2 linked regions of the Astyanax mexicanus genome follow. The protein of the gene in region 1 interacts with the protein of each later gene in a biochemical or structural test. Links are inferred from orthologs where the notes say so. Each region holds a gene or a part of one and is shown on either strand. Other genes may lie near its edges.

Region 1 (11,827 bases):
ATTAGAATAAAACAATATACAGGAAGCAGTGCTGTTTACAGAAAAAGGCAATAAAACAAAATAAGCTGAGAGAAGCGGAAAAGCTGCAGTCCTTAAAGCTGCTAAAAAGCTAACGTAAAATATGGCTGCATCCGTATCAACAGCGGGGGTTCTGGGGAGTTCTGACAGCTGTACTCCATAACGCACATTTTGGCTGGTATAAGTGGAGCACGATTGTTATACCACTGATGACTGGGTCGCTGGTTTGAATACTGCATGGCAGAACAGGAACTCAGACCAGGAGACTGGTAAATGGTAGGAAGAGGTCTTCTGTTTTATCTGCACTGTGACTGAAACAAAGCGTTACTGCAGCATCACAGAGAAGCAGGATCAACCAAAGTACAACTACCTTTAAACTTTGACAGAGGCTCCAGAAAAAGGTTGGTTAAAGTTGCTTCACCTAATTGACCTTCTGATGTTACCTGCTGTTGTAATCTCACATGAGCCCTCAAAATCCCCAAATTTTGGCACTTGCTACTGTGGGTTCCACTGCCCTCCAGCCCTACTTTGCTTGTTGCTGCTGTGACCTTGTGTAAAGCACTTAACCCCAAGTTTCTCCAGAGGTCCTCCTGCAATATGTCTTCTACAATGCTATTAAACCCTTGCCTGTCCACAACAGGAAACTCAAACCAGAAGAAGATAAAGAATAATTCAGTGAATTCCAAATTCTTTAGAAAATATTGGACATCAGCTCACAATTTTTTCTGCTACATATAGTACTAAACCACCACCCGCTCATGTCCCCACTGTCTGACCCACTTTCCACTACAATCATAATCCCCTAAACTTCACCACGCACAGGCAGACCAAACTTGCAGGATAGCCACATTGGAAAAAATATCTGGGATGATGCAACACTGCAGATTCCTTCCTGAAAATAAATAGTGATGGGGAATAGATGAAGCAAACACTACACTAAGCTGCAGCTTTAAAAGAGCATGTCCAGTAAAATTGCTAAAACTGATTAAAAATATTCAGATTTTCTTCTCTATAATATGAAACATCTGAAACAAAACCATCAAATTTTAATTTGCTTATGATGAAAATATGCCAACAACCCTTACATTACATATTTTAACAATGGAACAATCCTAATAACAACTATAAACTATATATATCCTCAACAAGTTGGTAAATAAGGAGACTATTCTGCTGGTTTCACTGACTATTATCATATATGACTGACTATAGTAATATTTATACAACAGAATTTGTCTTGCAAGTTCAACATAAGTTTATACAACTATACAACACCTGATTATTTCCATCACGCAAGTGTGATGCATCAAAACAATGCTGCTTGCCAGCTGTTTCTCATGACAAATGTACATCCTGGAGCTATCTGGCACCATTCCCCCTCAAAAGTACCAGGTTTCTTCACACGGTATCCATTTAACCAGCATAACCTTTTCTTTGAATTAAAGAAAAGGTGGGCAACACACTTGCAAATCTTTTCCGTTTTGGCTTCTCCAACGGTGGCGTAGCATGAGAAAGTGAGTGATGTTACAGGGCAAAAAAAAAAGTGTGTGACAGAGCTGTATCAGCAGAGGAAATAAAGTTATGACCGTGTTATGACTGATTCATCCTCAGGCTGCTCGAATTGAATACATTATCATGGTCTCAAGGACTCTTTATTTGGGCAGTAAGTGTTGATTAGCTCTAATATTAGATTAAAAGTATTCTTGATAACTACTTTAAATTAAACTATTTTTGTTGAGAGAATTCTTTTTATAATACATGTGATTAGATGCCTAAAACCTTTATAGAGCTGTGGCAGAAGAGTCTTCCCTTCCGGTCTTTTTTATCAAGCCATTATACGTCCTCACAGCTATCTGATCTGCAGGTCCAGCTGGATTTAGAGGAGATATCACCTTTCCACGCCAATGCTGACACTGAGCTGATCCGATCTATGAACTAGAGTGCAATCTACTGCCTAGAGCAGCTAAACATGAAACAAACACGGTAAGTGCTGCCACCCCATAATGCTTTAAGTTAGGCAGCTGCCAGTTTTTCAGCTAATAACCCTAAATTGAGGTCAAGAAAATCCCCTGACCCTTGCTGCTCCCAACATCAGTCACCCATGCTTTTCATTACTGCTTACAATGTTTAAAAAATGTAAATGTAAGTAATTAAAATAACTTTTTAGATTCTCATCAATTAACCCCTATGACTAGATGTTATGACATACACATTTCTAAATCTCTTACATAAGACTGTCTGCAGACCAGGTTTGACAGGATACTCTGCTTCATATGATAGATATCTGACGCCAGACTAAAACGACAGAAAAAAATAAACAACGAAAGGCCAGCTATGAAGGTCTAAGATCTTAAGTTCCAGTAAAATATTTATGCTACTCTCTTCTCCCATTCCATTCCATTTTTGAACAATTTGAGCAAACTGGCTTTGGGTTTCGAGTGAATCAGGATGACGACACCAGTTTCGGAGCGGCCCGTGCTGAGTTTCCCCGCAGTAAGTCAGGTCTCTTATCTATATTTCAGAGTGGAAAGTGACACCACTGGCTGGGCGCCAGCATTCAAGGACCCGTGTTTATTTGATTGCATTAGAAAGGCATGTTCCACACCCTTTTCCTCCAGCCAATGCACTCCGCAGACTCAGCTGGACCAGGAAAAGGAGCTCCATCAATGTCCAGGCTGCACAAAAAGGTGTTTCAACATGGGTCGTTAAACATTTTAACCCATCCGTGCCCAACATCGTAATTTAAAATGATGAGGAGGAAAAAAAAAATCTCTATGCGTGTTCTGGCTGGTCTGAGACGATGTAATTTTGTATAAATGTGCCACAGATGAACAATCTAAAAGTGTGTTTCAGATATGAGAGATTTAGATTTTAATTCATTCTAAATTTTGAATAGATTTTTCCATTTTTGTTGTCGTTAAAAAAAAAAATAGGCCCACAAGTTACATTTTTTTCTGAACCATACAGTTTAACTGACGTGATGAACTTCTTTAGATTTTAGTACAAAAAAAAAGATATATATATATAATAATTAGTTGGTAAAGCTACAAAAAAGCAGCATGAAATATTTTAGCTTGTTTTCACAAAGCAGAAAGTATAATAATGTCCAAAGAAATCGAGCAAGCGAACAAGCTCACCAATGTCAGAAACCAACAGTACATACACATCAATGATTGGCAACCAGAGCTGAAGAATAATAATTTAAGCAGAGCTCCACACAAAGCGGACTCCTGGTCGTCCATAAGGCCTGAGGGAAAGGGGGGGTTAAGGATGTCAACAAAAGTGATTCAAAGCAGCACGTCAACACGGAACAAAAGCCCCATTCGGCCAGCCAGATGCTGAGCCTGGAGGACGCTATCTGACTATGCAAATCACCCCAGGGTGGGGGGGTGAAATTCAGCAGAACAATAGCCCGACACAACAGTCCAGAGGGCAATGCAAATAGTCAGAAGCCAATCCAAACTGCACTGTTAAATACATAACCACTTTATCCAGTCATCTAAAGCTGTACTTAAACATTATCATTTACATTTAGGACAGGTCCAACAGGTTGCTACGCAAAAGCTGTATACTGCTGCAAATGGAATGAACCATTTAAGCCATTAACTATTAAAAACACTACCCTAGAACTTGTCTTGAGGGTATCATTTCTAAAAAGTCAAATAAATTAAAATAAAACAAATCTAAAGTTTCTACTGAATTGTGCTGATGATGACTGGTTTTGCTGACATACAATCATGGCCACCTTGACCACACAAACTCACTGAGTATAACTGAGCTGGTTGACCACCATGAGAAGTTTGTCCACCAAACTAATCCACCACTATGACCAGCTTGACCAAACTAATCAAAGAGTAAGATGATAGCTGTGATTTTCTTTACCAGATCCATAAAACCAGTCTAATTGCATTACCAGGAGCACAAATTTTTAATGGAATTTTGATTATGTATAATATATATTACAGTCAATAGCTAAATGCTCATTAGCATTAGCATTTGTATCAGTCGGAATATATTTACGGACGTAGTCCTGGATTTTGTACTAGGCAGCATTGCAGCTGAGATACAACTCCAATTTCTACTCTTAAAAAAAGTAGCTATAGATGTTGGTAACTTATGTATTTAATGGTACGTACAATTCTGTGTAAATCAATGGTAATATAGGACTAGTCAGAAATATATTAGGGATAATGTGGTCCTGGTAATATGACTAGTATAGATCTGATATTATAACTTGTAGGCCTGTCAAGATAAGAATTTAGTGTGGACAATATTTCATACTAGAAATTATTGCGATAAACATTATTATTGTCATTTTAAGACAATTAAACGACACTGATATAATGATAATAGAATAGCATAATAAAGCAATTATAACTTTTAAGGGCAACAACATTTTAATAAATAGTAATTTACAGTTTGTGAAATATATAAGCTACTTTTTTTTCTTCACCTACTGCAGTCAACACTGTGTATGTGTATGCATGTCACTTATTATGTTAGTTATTAAAGATATTATATTATCTTTTATAGAGTATATTATAACTGTCATGTCCATTTATTGTACTTTAAGTCAATAATGTAAATACACTGACAGGCTGAACTACATGTTAAATAGTTGATATCTGAACTTACAAGCACTGCAAGGCAGATATTTTATGTATTATTACTGTAATTTAAGTTTTTACCATTAAAACACAGTAACTTACTGAGTTAGTACTTGTATAAATGGTTTAGACTAAAACGTATTGTGTATATTATAGAATATTAATTACAACAACTAATTATATCACGATACAATAAAATGCTGTCAAACTGTATTGTCCATCTCTTACTAGCTAACTAGCTACATATTGCAACAAAAAAGCTAATTCTGTGGAAAATTGTATAAAAAAAACATGGTTAGCATTATAATTGACACTTTTTATTAATTAACCCAAAGAACATAAGTGTATAAAAGGTGTGTTTTACACAAAACAGCTTGGTAAGTCAACTAAAATGAAAAAATAAAACAAAGCTGACAGCACCAGATACTTACAAATACGGTGATATCGTGATATTGTGTTACTATAGACTAAAAAGCTTGTGCAGGTTATAGAATATTACGATAACAAATTAACGCTGTATCACTATGCAATAAAATACTGTCATACTGTATTGTCTTTATTACAGCTAAGAAGCTAGTTAATTCATGGGAAAATGTTAACATAACATGGTTAGCATTTCAATTGACGAATTTGGCCAGCTAACCCAAAGAAAATAAGTGTATGAAAGATGTGTTTTACACAAAAACAGCTTGGAAAGTCAACTAAAACGTAAAATGAAACAAAGCTGACAGCACCAGATACTTACAAATTCGCTGGTTTCTTGTTTTTATATCTTTAGTTGTATGCACCGCTTTTCTTCTAGTCGTTTCTCAGAGAGGAGTCCGTTACAGCCGTTAATAATTTTAAATTAAAAAACTGTAAAAATGGTCTGTTAGCCGTTAGCTCAATAAAACGGTTCACACACACACAATACTACAGCTAGCTAGCCCAGTTGCTAAGTTGCTAACAAAGGCAAGGTATGAGGAGTTCTTTCAAATGTCAGAAGAATAAACACGCGAGCAGCGCGCTGTGTTTCTGGGTCTGACCCGGTTTCTGTATCTGACCCGGTTTCGTGAAACCCCTGCTCTCTAAATTCTCCCCACAGACGGCAGGTCATAAATAAGTGCAGCAGCGGCGGCGGCGGCGGCGCTCCGCTCTCCCCCTGCAGCTCTGAACATAAACACACACTGTGCTGCTGCTGCTGCTGACTGAGTGCTGCTGCTGCTGTGTAGTGGATGGAGAACGGGGAGAAAAGCTGCCAGCGTCACTGATTACTGTCAGATGCATTGTGGGAAATGTAGTTAGCCGGCTCAGCTGGCTAACAAAGAGAAACCTCAGCTAGTTAGTTAGCTGGTTATGTAGACGCTAACTTTAGGAAAAATGTTAATATTTTCTGCCAAACTCTTTTGAAATTCCTTTTTTTATTCAAAATTTTCTCTCAATCCTGACTAAAAAATAGCGTTAAAATACTGTAGCTGACACGTTCTTGAAAATGACAATGTTTTTTTTTAAATATAGACTGTTTATAATAACTATTTTATCATTGAAATATAAAAATTACTTAATAAATAAACATTAAAGTCTGACTTTTCACACATATAAACTCATATAAAATCCATAGAGTTTAATATGAGGTCGGCACACACTTTGCAGCTATAAAGGGTAACTAAACCCCCTGACTCCACCCTCAGCTCAAATAAAAAAAAGAAGAAAAATGGGAGGGGTAGTTTTTTAAGAAACACTGGGGTGATGTATGGGTTTAGGGGCGTGGACAGAAGGGAGCGCTGATTAAGCTGAGCAGTGTGCCTCTGATAGTGGTGAGACGAAGATGGTTGGACGTCCACAGGGGCCGGTATTATTAATTGACTGATTTGCATACCAAAGTTCACAGACACAGCATCCTCGCCTATAGCACAGTTGAACCTGTGAGGGCACTGCAGAGTTGGAAATGAATGCAATAAAAGTGTTTTTTTAAAGGTTAGGACAGGTTTATAAAAAATTAAGCAGGTTCAGGGGTTAAATCGATTTATTTAAATCACAGTGTTTCAATACACTGCCCTGAGAGAGCACAATTGGCCTTGCTGAGTGGGTAGATGGCGCTGTGTACCCACAGCACTCCAAAGGGTGATGTCAATCAGCACAAGGAGTCTGTGAGCTGATGTATCAGAAACAAGTCGCTGTGCTTTCCTCCAAGTGCGCTGTGATGCTACTCAGCAATGCTGCATCAGCAGCAGTTTGTAAAGAGGCGGTGGCCGACTTCACATGTATCGGAGGAGTCTTTACCCTCCTGGTGGTGGGGCATCAACACTGCATAAATTGGGAGAAAAAATGGGATTAAAATTAAAAATAAAATGATTTGAAAAAAACATGTGACTGTCCCAAATCAAGTTTTGTTACGTCACACAGTTTCGAAACGTTTCATGTTTCAAGTCCCATGTTTTGTACCGAAATGTTTCTAAATGAGAGCTGAAAATCTTTGTGACAAACTGTGTTTGTTGTCAACATGACAAGCGACAAGATTGGCCCTTATTAAAAGAGAAAAAAACATTGTATTTGAAACATTGGTTTTTTTTGTGGAGATCACACAAACTGCATTGCTTTATTATCTATTGCTCATTACTGGTCATACCATTATTTTACAAAAGCGAAATGCACCCTCCTTGGTCAATACTTAGTAATTTAACATAAAAAAAGTGGATTTTTGTGGCAAGGGCGGAGGAAGAGGTGTTAATCTCATTAATATTCTTCAATTGGAACCATATTTTATGCATGTGTCACCACCAATGCAGAATTCTTTCTTGGTTTCTTTCATGCAACAACTTGACTGTAAATGTTCTTATTAAATGGACACCTGAACATGTTTGCTTTCTTCTCCTTCCTACAGCATTCTCCTGCTTTGAGGTCATCTATTATTATAATGTTTAGTGTCAGGCAGCTGCTTAGAGAAGCAAGCCCATGGCCGATGATTGTTGAGATTAGGTTTGAGGATAAGGAGACTTTACAGAGGTTGAAAATGTGCAAAATCTGATTCTTTCTAACAACGACTATAAATAAGCCATTGCCCTAAAAAATTGATTAAGCTCTAAGACCTTGATAGAAATAGTCTGAGAGCTACTTTTTGTATGTTTTGTATGATGCTACTTTACTTTTGTACACTAAACCTGCCTAAAATGTTTAAAATAATGTTTCATCTTCAACTTTTTAACCGTTTGGAGATCAGTTCATCTTCTACTCACTAAGAATAGAAATGTTACCTTGGTCAGAGGCAGTGGTGTGCTCAGGGGGGAAAAAGGGCACTTTTTAGCGCACGTGGAACACTTCATTATAAAAAAAATGTGATATATCATTGATTTGGGCTAGAGCGGCTAGTTTATTTGGTGACCAGTCGGCTAAAGATGCTTAGTAGTTTGGTGCTGTATGAGACATTTTACTGCACAACAAAATGATTTCACGTTGGACTTAGAGGGTAAACGGTACGATTTTACTTGATGTGTATGTTACCTGGCTGGTGGGACACGGGGGAGAAGAAGCCTATCTGTTGCCGTGCGTGCTGTGCTGAAGACTCGCTGAACTGAACTGCTGCTGCAGCGCAACTAATGTGCCTTGCGCGCCACCGCGCGGGGTCACGTGACAGAGGAAGAGAGAGGTCGGGTGTGTGCGAGCTGATTTCAGGGCATTCTGTTTTCACTCGTTTTTAATCGCTCAGGTTTTCAAAAGATGATTTCAAACCGGCCTCAGTAAAATCTTAATAATAATAATATAAAAAAACGAAATTTCAAAGGGCACTTTGGTTGATAAAGGGCAGAGTTGGTGGTGCTTAGCACCACCTGATGTCTATGTCTGCACGCCTCTGGTCAGAGGTGACCAAACTTTTGAATGCCACTGTACATGCACTGTTTTGTTTAGTCCGATTCATAGTTGTCATTGCTGCTAGGTTACATGTTCAGCCTCTTAAGCTCTAAATCTCTGTGAGGAATAATAGGCCACCATGATCACCGTACAGCAGCTCAGGATGTTCAGACAGGCCAGACACACATAAACTAAACCTCTGACTGAACTCTGTGGTGAAGGTAAACAGAAACACACACACACACACACACACACACACACACACCCAACAAACCCATGCTCTGTCATAAGGCCCAGGGCTATTCGGGCACATTAGCCAATATACACCCACATGCAAACAGAGAGGTCTGGTTTGTGACACAATCCAAAGATGAGCACACTGTCGTCCACTGGAAAGCATTTTAAAAATACCTCAGGAGTGTCATGTGACTATAACTGATGCTGTCTCATTACACCTGTAAGTGCTATCTTTTTGCAGTAGCTGATAAAATCACAGTCCCAATTAGCACTTTAACACAACTCTGTCTTTCTCTTTTTCTATCTTTACTTTTATTACTATTTTTATGCTGAACATAACATGATACACTTACCCTGTTCAAAAAGAGCCAGAATAATGAAAACGAATTTGCTTGTTTTTTTTATTTTATTTATAATTTGACATTTGAGATGGAAGTCCAACTAGTCTCAGCAGCCACTTCGGTAACAAAAAACTGTTTTGTTTAGTAATTGTTGCTAAAACCCAACTTAAACTCGCAATCATGCAAGAGTATGCTGCACGTTTGCACTGTATGTTGTCTACTGTATTGTTGTTCCATGTTGCACCATGGGTCCGGAGGAACATAGTTTCTCTGCATGGTGTACCTAAGCCACGTGCCTAAGCCATGTGTGTGTGAATGTATATAAATATAAAATTATTTTTTAATACATTTTACATTATTAATGTGCCATACCATATGTCTGAGCATAATACGTAAGTATTTCAGCATAAAAGCACATATTTGAAATTATGTATCATTACTACATTATTAACAAACCAAACCGTGTGAAAATGAGGTAAAAAAAAAAAGAGTTGTGATTATAGGTGTATTAAACACCTTCCTCAGTACTGCTAAATGCACTGAGGGCGCATGCTTGACTCCTCCATTATGGCGGCCGGCTGACATGCCAGCTTCAATAGATGGCGTCAGTCGAAGCGGCATCTGTGTATACATGTCTATGGTCATTTCTCTGCAGTGTATGCCATATTGTGTCACAGGAAACAGTCACCCCAGTTTAGCTTTCTACTCCTTTAGTTAACTGCAGTTAAACTACATGACAATTTATGCAACACTTTTCACGAGAAGACGCTCCTGTCTAGGTGTTAACTTCTGTGAGATGGTAGCAGTTCCATCTTTGTTCATTTTTTTATGAATTTGCTTGAGTATTCTGACTGATAAGTAAGGCTTTACTGATCTTGTATCGATAAGCAAAGCTTTGCTTTGTAGGCTAAACCTTTCTTGTGTAAAAAAAAAAATCTCAGGTATTTTTGTCTCTCTTTTCCATATATTGCCATTGTTGACAGAATGAAAAGGGAAGTTTTTTTTGTTAAGTAATGCTGGGCACCTGTGTAAAGAATATCGTCGCTGTCCAATGAAAAACACTTATCTCCATTTTTGTAGATTTATGGTTTACTACATAATTTGAACAGACAAACTGTCCCTTACACTGTGCCAAAATTTCTTGATGAACGGACCAATAGAAATGCTTCAAAATGACCTGAAACAAAACTCTTTTTACATTGACTTTCATTGAAAGTTTACAAGGTTTTTTTCTCTCTCCTGTAAAGTTGCTGTTTTGGAGATAAGTGTTTTTCACTGGACAGCAACGATATTTAGAATCACCTGGGGTATAAATTGTGTTAATAAAAATGTTTTGGTCTAAACTCTAGCTTTGATCCTTAGCCTTTCATTGGGGTGTACTCATTTTTGCAACATGGTCTTGAATGAATTTCGTAGAACAATTAAATTTTTATTTGTGTAAATTAACAAATCCTGTCTGCAATCAATGGTCCAAGTTTGAAGGAGTATTTTATAGTATATTATTAGTATAGTATCTCATAAAAAAATCAACTCTGAAAGGAAACTAAAGTTTTTATGAAACATCTGTTGGGGTTTACACATTTATAAAATTAGAATTTTTATTTTACAAAACATAACAGGTCGGCAAAAGCTGTAAGTACCCTCTTAGCTGTGGCCCAACAGTTGAAAACCACTTCTTTAAATACAGTTCGGACTAAACCCAATGCAAATATATGCATTTAATTGCATAATAATCATTTAATTATGCAGAAGTAAAAAGTAATCAGTTGAATTGCCCATTAAGCCATGAGTTAAAACTGAAGGACTAAGCCTAACTGATGTTTCTGGCCTCCTGATAAATCCAGCTTTATGAAATTCCCCTCTGGTCAGCAGGTCAGAGCTGGGCCATGTTATGACATTCTCATATTCCAGTCCAGTAATAATGACGCCAGTCAGGCGAGTAAACAAATAAACAATCCAGTACACAACCCAGTCTGAGATTAACTGTCACGCGTCATCACATCAAGACGCAGTGACCTCGGGTCAGTGGACACACTCAAACACACACACAGACACACAAGTGCTCAAACACACACCCTGCATACCTGCGATGGCAAAGATAAATCAGTTTACATCTGACTGTCATTTGTATTTACGTCGCCACAGCAACAAAACCAACACCTCACCAACACCGTTTCTAAAGTTCTGAGCCAGGAAGCATGAGGGCACGCACACAGGAACACGCACCCACACCCACACCCACACACACACACACACACACACACACACTCAAGGTTCCATACAACACTTTGATCTTTCACACTCACATGCATTATGACATCACAGTGCAGCTCAATAATAACTATTCCTGTTTAAAATGCAGTTTATATGATTTATATTATAACAGCCAGATACACAATGTTGTGTTAAAAATAAAAAATGCAAAGAAATTTTTTAAACAATAGTGCTGTTTAGGTGCTCTATGTCTGTGAGTTTTACAAGTTGCATTACACAAAAATAGGTATAATTTGCTCCTTGGCACTTCTTATATTTGTGGTGTGCCATTTACTTTTTCTCCACTGCTGTGAATACTAACAGAACCTTGAACATCCACTCATTGGCAGCTGTAAACTTGCAATTGTTGACTAGCTGAGAGACACAGAAGTAGCATCTGAAGTGAAGGAAATATGCAGACTGAGGCAGTAGAGTATAATTACAGGATTTTACACCAATATGATTTGAGATACATAGCATCATAGTTCTGGAGCTTCACAAAAACCCTTTAATAATAGGACTCACAAGTTTAAAAATTGACTT
Region 2 (10,976 bases), on another chromosome or scaffold:
AGTTAAAAAGCTCCGCGAGACAGTATGAGCTCTGCGATACAGTTAAAAAGCTCCGCGAGACAGTATGAGCTCCGCGGTACAGTTAAAAAGCTCCGTGAGACAGTATGAGCTCCGCAGTACAGTTAAAAAGCTCCGCGAGACAGTATGAGCTCTGCGATACAGTTAAAAAGCTCCGCGCGATAGTAGGTGAGCTTCGCGAGACAGTTAAAGAGCTCCGTGAGACAGTCCTCTTACTGTCCCAAAGAATCACCGCCCTAGTAAATACTGTAAGTAAATCGTACATGTGACTGTTTCATAGGCAGCTGTACTAATCCCTTAACTTTGTACTGTATTTAAAAAAATGTTCTGTCTCTGTTTGCACTTCAAGCATAGTCTTAATATGACTGGTTATGGTTATGCATAGCTAAACTACAAGAGATTTAGGAGAAATAAAACACAAACCATAAACTTAATATGACTGGTTGTGGTTTGCACTTATTGTTTGCACTATAAAAGACCTAGATAAGTTTTATTTTTATTTTGTATCCTTATTCTTATTTCTATTTCTTATCAAATCAATATGTGAGAGCAACCAGTCTGTTAAGTTTGCGTTATATGATTGTCAAATAAAAGTCAGTTATAGTTTATTCTTTTTATTCAATCTCGTCTTGTTCTCGTGAACCCAGTATCGTGTCTCGTCTCGTGATATTAGTGTCTCGTCACACCCCTATATTTAAGCTATTTAAAAAAAACTGCTGAATAATAAATGTATGGGTACTTTTTCACAATCTAATGTTACTAAAGAGCAGGATGTGTCCTATACTCTGTACTATGGTGAAGGTCTACATACTGTACACAATCTAACTACACTAATCTAGCAAGATCTGTACTATAGTGTAAAAACGTTCACTGTATAACAATACAACACAATCAAATCATCATTACTTACCACACCATTTGAGTTATGCACACCATTTAAGTTTATCTTGGTCACAAATCGTACGAAAGGAGGCGTCTCTGGGTATTTAGGTCCACATTCCACTCTCAAGCTGTACATCCTGTTCTCGTAGATTGTCTGGAGATGTACAGAGAATTATGTGAGTGACAGGAATAATCATAATGTCAATCATAGGTTTCTCTCATTTATATAAAATTTCAATCAATATTTTATTTGTACGATCTGGCATCATTTGCACACAAGTCAGTAGGCAACAGCGCTGACTTTAACCACTTCCTTTAAAAACAACCCCATCACTATTGTAATTTATATTTTCACTGACACAGTAGCATTTTGGTTTTGGTGCCATTTTAACACAACTATTAAACATAATAATAATTAAAAAGACAAAAAAAAAAAGTTTCATTTAAAACTATAAGTAGGAGTATTCCTGAGTGGGGAGGTGCCAAAATTCTATAGTAAAAAGTATCAGTGTGCTTTTGCTACCTTTCCTGCAAAACCACATATATTCATTCTAAAGGTCTCTCAACAACAGTTATTGGTGATTATCAGAGTTACTAACTGCAGAGGCTGTGTTAAAAGTTAAAACCCACGTTATGATGGTAGCAGGCTGCTGATACCAGATCAGTGTACATGGGGATATTCGAATAGCAAACTTAATAATAATCTGCTCATTAACACATTGCTAAACAAAGGAAAGGCAGAAATCGAAATAAAATGAGAGCTGGTAGGCAAACAGAACGGGCAATTGATTCCTTGTTAAAATCACCAGATTTATTCACTGTGACAAGAGACGGCAACACAATCTTTGCTTTAAAAGTATTATTTAAGTGCAGTGCATTAGTAAAATGTAAAGGAGAAAAACAAGCTGACCCCAACATAACCAAATATAATTCAGTTCAGAATGTTGGAAGTACTTTAGCTGGTCGCACAGATGTCTGATTATTCTGCAGTAACACTCACCCTGGGAGGTCCAATGATCATGCCTCTCCAGCGTGTGAGTGTCATGTCCTCATCGTCCTCCAGACCCCAACTCACTGTTCCATCACCAACGCCCTTCTGGCCTTCTTCCAGCTCTTCCAGCAGCCGGAAGTTACGAGGAACTTTGACGCCTAAAATGATAAAAAAGCAAAAAGTTATTACATTAATAATTATGAATACACAGTATACTTGACACTGTTTCACCCAAGTTTGAGAAGATTCTGAATCCAAAAATGTGTTTTTAAAATAACATATCATTAAAATGGTGGAGGAATACATATGCTATAAAAAAGTAGTCCCTAAAAATGTTTCAGTGCTGTGCACTGAAACTCATCCCAATTGTCCCAAAAGCTTAAACAAAGGTACATAGAGACAAGCCTAATAAGGACGATCACCAACTTAGATGGTAAATGAAAGCATATGTCTAAACCTCACTCACATAGAAAATTGTTACAGCAAACAATAGCGATGAAAACACATCCCACACTACAATGTTCACAAAATGCATATCACTAAAACAGTACAGGTATGAAGGGGGTAGTGTGGCAAAAAAATAGTCCTGTGGTTTGGATTTGTTTAGATTCCTGCTGCAGTGAATTTAAGCACCACTGCTGAGAATCAAGATTAGAGGGGGGTCACGAAAACATCCTGGAGGTTTGGTTTAGTCCTGCAGTGCAGCTCAGACTAGCTCATCTGCATGCACTGCAGACTGACTGCCAAATTAGTCTGCAGAAACTCACAATACCTTTCAATACCAATAACACCTCCACATACATGAGATTAGTGCATGAGTGCATGCTGTGCTGGTACCAGTGGATCAGATACAGCAATGCTGTTGGAGTTTTTAAACTGTGTTCACTCACTGTCCTCAACTCTGTCAGACACTCCTACCAATCTGCTACAATATATACAACACACACCAACACCTCATACACCACCACCATCACCACCACCATGCCAATGTCATTGCACCCAAATAATAGTGCCTTTATTGATATCTCTCATCAAATAGTCTATTTTGCAATCAAAAGTATTTAAACTAGGGCTGCAACAATTAGTCAATATAATCAATTTATGTTTTTTTAATTGATAGACCAACATAAATGAGCAAATTATACACAATTTTCAAAATCATGCAATCAAATAAAAATCGGAAAAGTGCAAAGAGTAGAAGTATTTAGCCTCCCTATATCAATACTGAGCCACATTCTACAGCAATTACAGCAGCAGTCTTCTGGGTACGTCTCTACTAGCTTTGTGCACCAAGAGACTGAGATTTTTGTAATTCTTTTTTGCAAAATAGCTTAATCTCAGCCAGGTTGGATAGAGAGCGTCTGTATTTTCATGTCTTGCCACAGAAGCTCAATGGGATTTAGGTCAGGACTTTGACTGGACTGTTCTAACACATGAATATTCTTTGATCTAAACCATTCCACTGTAGCTCTGGCTGTATGTTTAGGGTCATTGTCTTGATAGAAGGTTTCAAGTCTTTTGCGGCCTTGAAAAGGTTTTCTAAATTTTCGTTCCACTACTTTGTGTTGGTCTATCACTTAATATCTCAATAAATTACATTATAGTTTGTGTTTAGAAGATAACACAACGTGAAAAAGTTCAAGGGGAATTAATACTTTTGCAAGCAACGGGACCTCCATCAGCCGTTCACAGTGCATCAATCTGAATTTCTACAGATCAACTAACTAGTGTATGTATTTGCTTTCCCTGTGCATCCATCAATCAATCAATCATTCAATCGGTCAATCAATCAATCAATCAATCAATATATTCATCAGCTCCAGTCATACAACTCTTGCCATCTCACAAACCGGCCCACCCTCCTGCTCCCTGATCCTAATCAATAATAAACGGATAAATCCTGATAATGATGATAAATCTCTGGAGTTTAATCAGCTCTTTCTAATATATTGATCAGGGCGGGCTGGAGCGCGCGCGCGCAGGTGTGCTGCTGTTTCCGAGAAGCTTCCAGTTCTTTCCGCGTCATCGCGCTGCAGCCACGCGAGCTCGCGAGCCGGTCCACGCCCCACTCCCCCCAACCTCCCCCTCACCCCGCTCCCCCTAAAACACCGAGTTTACAGCGAACAGCGCGTGAAAGCGGCCCAACGGAACAGGTTAAGCCTTGCGCGCGGCGGCAGCGGTAAAATCCCGATCTCAGCCCCGCCGCCTCGCGCCCACGGACCCGCGCGCTGAGCCTCCCCGCAGGAACCCGCGTCGCCAGACCGGCGGGTTCGCTCCGCGCGCAGCTCCGGTGCGGCTCCGGTTCGGGTTTGATTCTGCGAGTCCGCCCGGATTAAACCTACGTTTAGCTTCTGAGTCGGTTTACCTGATCCGGCGGCCGCCGCCATCTTGTCGCTGAGCAGCGGGAGCGCGCACGCTCCGTATTCTTCTCGGGCACGCGGCGGATGAGGGCGCGTTCACGCGTATAGCGCGCCTCCCTCAGTCCTGATTCACTCTGGGTCTGTCCCAATATCCGCCGCGCCCTGCCTCTCCCCCTACTGCCTACACTCACTGCAATATAATAATAATAATAATAATAATAATAATAATAATAATAATAATAATAATAATAATAATAATAATAATAATAATAATTAAATAAAAATAATAATTAATAATAAATAATTGTTTATCAAAACCACCAATAACAGGCCACAATGAGGTATTTAATAGAGCATGAACAAAAAGGCAGTAATGATAACATTACAAGTTACAAATACAATGAAAATAATAATATTTGTATTATTAATAATAATAATAATAATAATAATAATAATAATAATATTGAATCGCCAACCCAAAACAAAACCTTACCTCATCTCTTCCTCCCACCAGGACTGACACTGTTTTTGCAAACAGCACATAAATAATAATTACGAGCATAATGCAGTAAATTGATCACTCTGGGACACTGTTAGCATTTACTTAATTTTATTTAATTATCATTTAATTGTTTATTTGAATAATAATCATAATTATTATTTTATTATTATTATTGTAGTTGTTAATGCCAGTAATTCACATTTATATAAATAAATGTTTTGCTTAGCAAGAAACCAATTTTACCCACTTCAATACTATATATCAATATACTGCAATAAATATATTTACAGTGGTTTAAAAATGTTTTTTTTTTTTTGCATGTTTGTCACTCTTAAATGTTTCAGATTATTAAACAAATTCAAATATTAGTTAAAAATGCAGTTTATGAATGAAGGTTTTCATTATTAAGGGAGAAAAGAAATCCAAACCTACATTACCCTGTGTGGAAAAGTGTTTGTCCCCCAGTTGAAACATAACTGTGGTTTATCACACCTGAGTTCAATTTCTCTTGCCATACCCAGTAGACCAAAAGATTCTCAAAAGTTAGACATCGTTTTTGAAGGTGTGTTTCCCATTACATCTGGTGTAACACCATATTATACAGTAAAACGTGTTGGTGGGTGTAGTGTAATGGTCTGTGTCTGTTTTGCTGCTTCAGGACCTGGACGAATTGCTGTGGTAAATAAAACCATGTAGTCTGCTGTCAACCAAAAATTCTTGAAGGAGAGTGTTCGTCCATCTGTTCAAGACCTCAAGCTGAAACGAACTTGGGTTCTGCAGCAGGACAATGTCTAATGTCTCTAATTTTTAGTCCATATTTGATGTATTGGCTTGATTAGCTGCACGGTAAATAAAGTTCACCTTCAGTGAAGGTTAATTGTAAACAATTATAAACAATTATTGTAAACAACAGTCCCCGTGACTGTTGAAATTAATAAATAATTAAAGTAAATGTATGTATGTGTGCAGTATATTCCAGCAGGACTGCAGCTTCATTATCGATGATCATTATATGATGAGTTTCTGCCCCCTGCTGGGCTCCAGCGGTACAACAGGAACCGGAAACACACGGTCAGCCGAAACACATCCACATTAATAAATTAAAATAATCCCCCACAGGAAAAATACACACTAATATTAATATTTTATGCTTGGGTTAGCATGTTCTGCTGCTCTAACACTCTATATCTCCTATAGTTCAGTTAATTTTTTAATAGTTAACAATTGCAGTCTTATGATTCATATCTCCACTTATTGTAGAAAATTAGAAGACACCCACACAGAGCTGTATTACAAAACAGCCTTGAATTATAATTTATTGCACATCCACTGAAAATGACAACATACAATGGAAGAAGACCCATCCTGAACAAACTAGATTACAAGCAAAAAAAAAAAAAAACACAACAACCCCAAAACAAAATTAAAACAAACAAAAACTAATTCAATTAAATTACAATATTGATTTTGTGTTCTTTCCCTTAAATTGTCTTCACCACAGCTTAATGTTACAAAATGATTCCGGCATGGCGGGAGGAGTGACGGCCGGCGGTTTGGAGTGAGCCGGCTAGTTTCTGCATAGGCTTTGAGAAACTCAATGTTTTTTATTATACAAGGATTTTACAGTAGAGAAAGACCTGGAGACCAAATAAAATCTCAGAATTTAAAGAATAACTGGATGCAAATGTGTCACTAGATAAAAGCTAACAGTTCATGCTGTTCTGATGTTGCATGTTAGCACATTAGCCTTTTAGAAAAAAAAAAAGGAAAAAAATGTTCTTTCTATGTTAAACATTTTTGGTCAGTTTAATGTTCATCAGTTTAGTCTTCCAATTTTCTAGGAAAAATGAGAAAACAAATCTTCTTGCAATTTCTGAAATTATTTAGATTTTTTTGCATCTTATAACAAGTTCAGTTAAATTTTCTGACTGTATATTTTGTATAAAAATAGGTTTTCCTCCATCAGGCAATTTTTAAGAAATAAAAATAAAATTGGATGATTGAAACCCCAGTTTACTGTCTTCAAATTTAGACTCGGTCAGAAAATTTAACTGAAATGTTACACGGTCCTGTCTCTGGTTGTAAACAAGCTAAATTATAGTATAATGCAGTAATAAAATAATATTATTATAACCAATGTTCCTTTCTCTAAAAGCAAAGTGAATTATAAAAAGGCCAACATACACAATTCAGATATTAATACCTGAGAACCACAAACAAATCAAGTACATTAGTCAAAATATGGCACTGAAAAAAAAAAATTGCTCCAGAAATATCAGGTCAAAGCGTAGCTACAGTTCCTTACGGGCTTCTATCTATAGTCTACAGTCTATATCGTTTATAGAGTCTGATATTATTATTGCTGTAAATCTTCTTAAGTTAATGTGTCTATTACGTTTACGAGAAAAGCATGACAGATTAATGCTGAAGTATTCTGGAAAAAAACAAAACAAGAAAAATTAAATATAAATATACAAACTATATTAACTTTTACTTAAATGACATAATAAAATGAAGAGAATTGGTGGTTTGGTTTTCCTTCACTACAAATCAATCAAAGCAATGAATGTGCACTTAAAACAGAAAAACAAAGCCCCAGTAGAATTTTAGTTTGAGAGTTTGAACCAAAATTAAAGATACAAATGCAAAAGACAATAATGAAAAAAAAAATACAATCTCACCCAATTTTTCACACTGCATCACTTTCATCAGTTGAGATTACAGGATGAAAATAATAATTATAATTATAATAATACCGGTAATAATAATAATAACAGTATTTACAGAGTAGCTGTACGTTAGTTGTTAGTACAGTGTCGTTATTAACATGCAGTCCTAAAACTAGATCTTTTTAATGGATACATTACAAACCCTTTCACCATTCTTTGATTCCCCTTTTACATTTTTTTTGTAGATTTTTTTTGCATATAAAAAGACCCCGCCCCTTCTTTCTGCTCACCACAACCAAAACAAAGAAAGAAACAAAAAACATCTGTAATTAAACCATTTTGATTGCTCACAAAATTTCGTTCACAGATATTGAACCGACTGATTACTGATGTTCAAAATTCAGAATATTAAAAACAACTTTATATTACAGAAATGAACAGCAGGTATGAGTGTATATGGCTTTCTTTAGCACACGCACGCGCACACGCACACGCGCACACACACACACACACACACACACACACACACACACACACACACACACACACAGACACACACACACAGACATGCACGCATACAGAGAGAGAAGAAATCAGTAGTTTAATTGTTGAACAGTGTGGGTGAGTCAGCAGTCACAATAATACAAATATTTATAAAAATTATGAACATATGAACACAATGATAGTAATTATACCACAAAGGGCAGCATCTGAAATAATCGTCAATGATCTCTTTAATCATCTGTATATTTAGAGTTTTGAACGAGCATTCTTGTATTTCTTTAGTTTTTGTGTATTAACATGACCCACAATGCAAATGTTGTCACTTAATTGATATTAGCACAGGGAAATGACGTTTTAATGATGAGGCAGACTATTCTGAATAGGCCTGTCACAATAGCTTTATATGGACGGTGTATTAATATACTCACAAATAATTGAGAAAAACAGTATTATTGTCATTTTAGGATTTGTCAAGATCTGTCATTTTATCATGTCATCATATAATGATAATAAAACAGCATAATCTTGCAATTACAGCCTTTTTTAGGAGCGCTGAACCAACTCTACTGCTTTACAACAAAACACTTATTTGTTTTGTTTATTAATAATTCTATATGTTTTTCTTCATAGTTTGGATGACAGTAATATTAATCTACAATGCAGATTTGTATTGAATATATATAACCTCTCTCTCTATTCACAATAATGGGCTGTCCTTGTTTATATAAATTATGTTTTGATATTGTACCAAACGTAATTATTGTGACAGGCCTAATTAAGATGCAATGTAATAAAAATAAAAGCTTAAAATGAATATACACGTCCTGCAACAGTGTTTAAACAGAGTCAACCTGCTGTAAATCTATTAAAATAAATAAATAAATAATGCATTTTATAGCGGATTAAACGCTTTAAAGGTGTCGACACATTAAACGCACAGTCTCATTAAATGTATGACATATTTGGGTCTCACTATCTAGATTGCTTAAAAAAAAAAGAAGAAAAATAAGAAAATAAGATTATAGATTTCCCCTTATAGTCAGACTGGTGCACGACGTAGGCGAGGAGAGACATAAGGCCCCTTTGACATTAGACCATGTGACCAACTTTCTTCAAACCAGTTCAAACCTTTCAGCGCTACATGACAAACCAGAACCCTACCAATGTTCCATCTCCAAAACCTTCAGACTGAAAATACATACACTATATATGTCCATATATGTATGGATACCCCTAATTAATGAAGGCATGTAGGTCCTTGGAGGTTGCACTCACTTCCGCTGACAAAGATGTGCAAATGAACACAAACAGCTTGTCTAGTCAGTGTAGAGAAGGATTGCCAATAGAATAGGACTCAGATCAACATTGACCTACTGGTACCGTGCCAAGTAATGCGAGGTGTGGACCAGTCTAGGAGTATGAAGCCCTCTAGAACTGAGAATGATTGAGATCTATCCAGTACTCCTGTTGCTGAAGGCTTTTACACCAGAATCTTTTACTCCAACAAAACACAGATAAACTAATTTAATACCCTTCATTTAAGTTATGACAGTAAAGATAAATGAGTTTAGCAGACGTCCCAATAATTTTGGCCATATAGTGTACTAAGAAGGAGAATGACGTTTAGGACACTTAGCACTAGTAGCAAACTTCAAGCTGATTTACTCTTTTTGAAAGGCACAGTCTTCAGTTTCGAGGAGCTATCGTAGCTTTCTATCCAATTTGAACACAACCACTTCTGACACCATTGTTCCTAAGGTTAAGGTGTGTTAAATGTAATATGCAGTAAGGCATATTAATCATTGAATTATACATATTACATGCCTGATCTTGTGCGTTTTATGGTCCCCGAGTAGAACGGGATGGTTTTCCATGTTCGAGTACCCAGGTAGTGCCGGGTTTAAGCAGGTGATACTGCACTCAATTTTGGGTTATGAGGCAACGGTGAAGCACTAAGGCGAGGAGTCAGTTTCTGTTTATTTGTAGTTTAAGTAAAATCAACAACAACAAAAAAAATAATTATTACATGAAGGTTTAATTTTTTTATTCATGAGCTGTGATTTAAATTACAATTTAAATTAGAATAAAACAAACAAAAAAAAGCAAAAGGAAAATTAATGTTTAATAGTTTTTAAAAGTATAGGAATTGGGACGGAAACCACCTGAATCAGAAAGATTAAAAGTATTACATGTATTAATAGAGGCTCCAAATATGAGAAATAAATGAAAAAAAAATGCTTAATTATTTTCTGTTTTCATGAACTTGAATAAATAGATCACATATCAGCTTAACGAGACCCATCTACACATCTGTGTAATCTTTAATTCGTTTTTGTTATGTTTTTTTGTTATTTTGTTGCGATATGATTGTGCATCTTTAAGATTTCTTTTTTTTATTTTATTTATTTATTATCATGAATAAAAGCTACAATAAATTAGCCTGTGCTGTATGGGTAATCAATAGCAGCCCTTTGTTTGTACCAATAGAACTAATTAGCCTGCACTCTTAAAAATGAAGGTGCTAGAAATGGTTCTTAAAACTATGCCACAGAAGAACCACTTTTGTATCCATGCAAGTAATAGAGAATAGAGGTCCTGGAGAAGCTGCACATTGTAGGCTGCTTTCACACCAGCCTTGCTTGGTTTGGACCTTTGGACTATTCAGTTTGGTTGGAACCAAAACAGCTGATGTAAAAGGAGGTTGGGTTAATAAAGTAAATGCAGGAAGAAGGTCCTGTGGCTTTGTAAATGATCTGATTATTAGCTTGATTAGGTTAGGATAAACAACAAACATGTTCAGGACAGGAAGTTCTCCAGATACAGTGTTAAAAAGATTCTTCACATTCAAATTAGCATCTATTTTTAACGAAATTGGTTTTTTTTAGAGGCAAAACCAGTTCTTCTATGGCTCTATTGCCCTTAGTAGCACTGCCATTTTTAAGAGTGTGTGTAGAGGAAAAGTACGGTAAATAAAGTAAACGCCAAACACTTACTGCTGCAGGAAACACACCCCGATAAATGAAATAATGAAAAAACAGCAGGAGAAGATA

What was found. The genes of interacting proteins can lie anywhere in the genome.
Region 2: the proteins of peli1b (region 1) and ube2v1 form a complex in vitro, tested with the Homo sapiens proteins (3 studies listed by BioGRID). The link is inferred for Astyanax mexicanus from reciprocal best matches to the Homo sapiens genes PELI1 and UBE2V1.

Annotation. Positions count from the first base shown.
Region 1 is NC_064421.1:30,823,303-30,835,129, forward strand, and holds the start of peli1b (E3 ubiquitin-protein ligase pellino homolog 1b), read right to left. Parts: upstream 5,833-11,827; 5' UTR 5,371-5,832; intron 1-5,370. UniProt on the Homo sapiens protein: E3 ubiquitin ligase catalyzing the covalent attachment of ubiquitin moieties onto substrate proteins. Involved in the TLR and IL-1 signaling pathways via interaction with the complex containing IRAK kinases and TRAF6.
Region 2 is NC_064431.1:14,976,896-14,987,871, forward strand, and holds the start of ube2v1 (ubiquitin-conjugating enzyme E2 variant 1), read right to left. Parts: upstream 4,411-10,976; 5' UTR 4,279-4,410; coding exon 4,257-4,278; intron 2,050-4,256; coding exon 1,901-2,049; intron 1,055-1,900; coding exon 929-1,054; intron 1-928. UniProt on the Homo sapiens protein: Has no ubiquitin ligase activity on its own. The UBE2V1-UBE2N heterodimer catalyzes the synthesis of non-canonical poly-ubiquitin chains that are linked through Lys-63.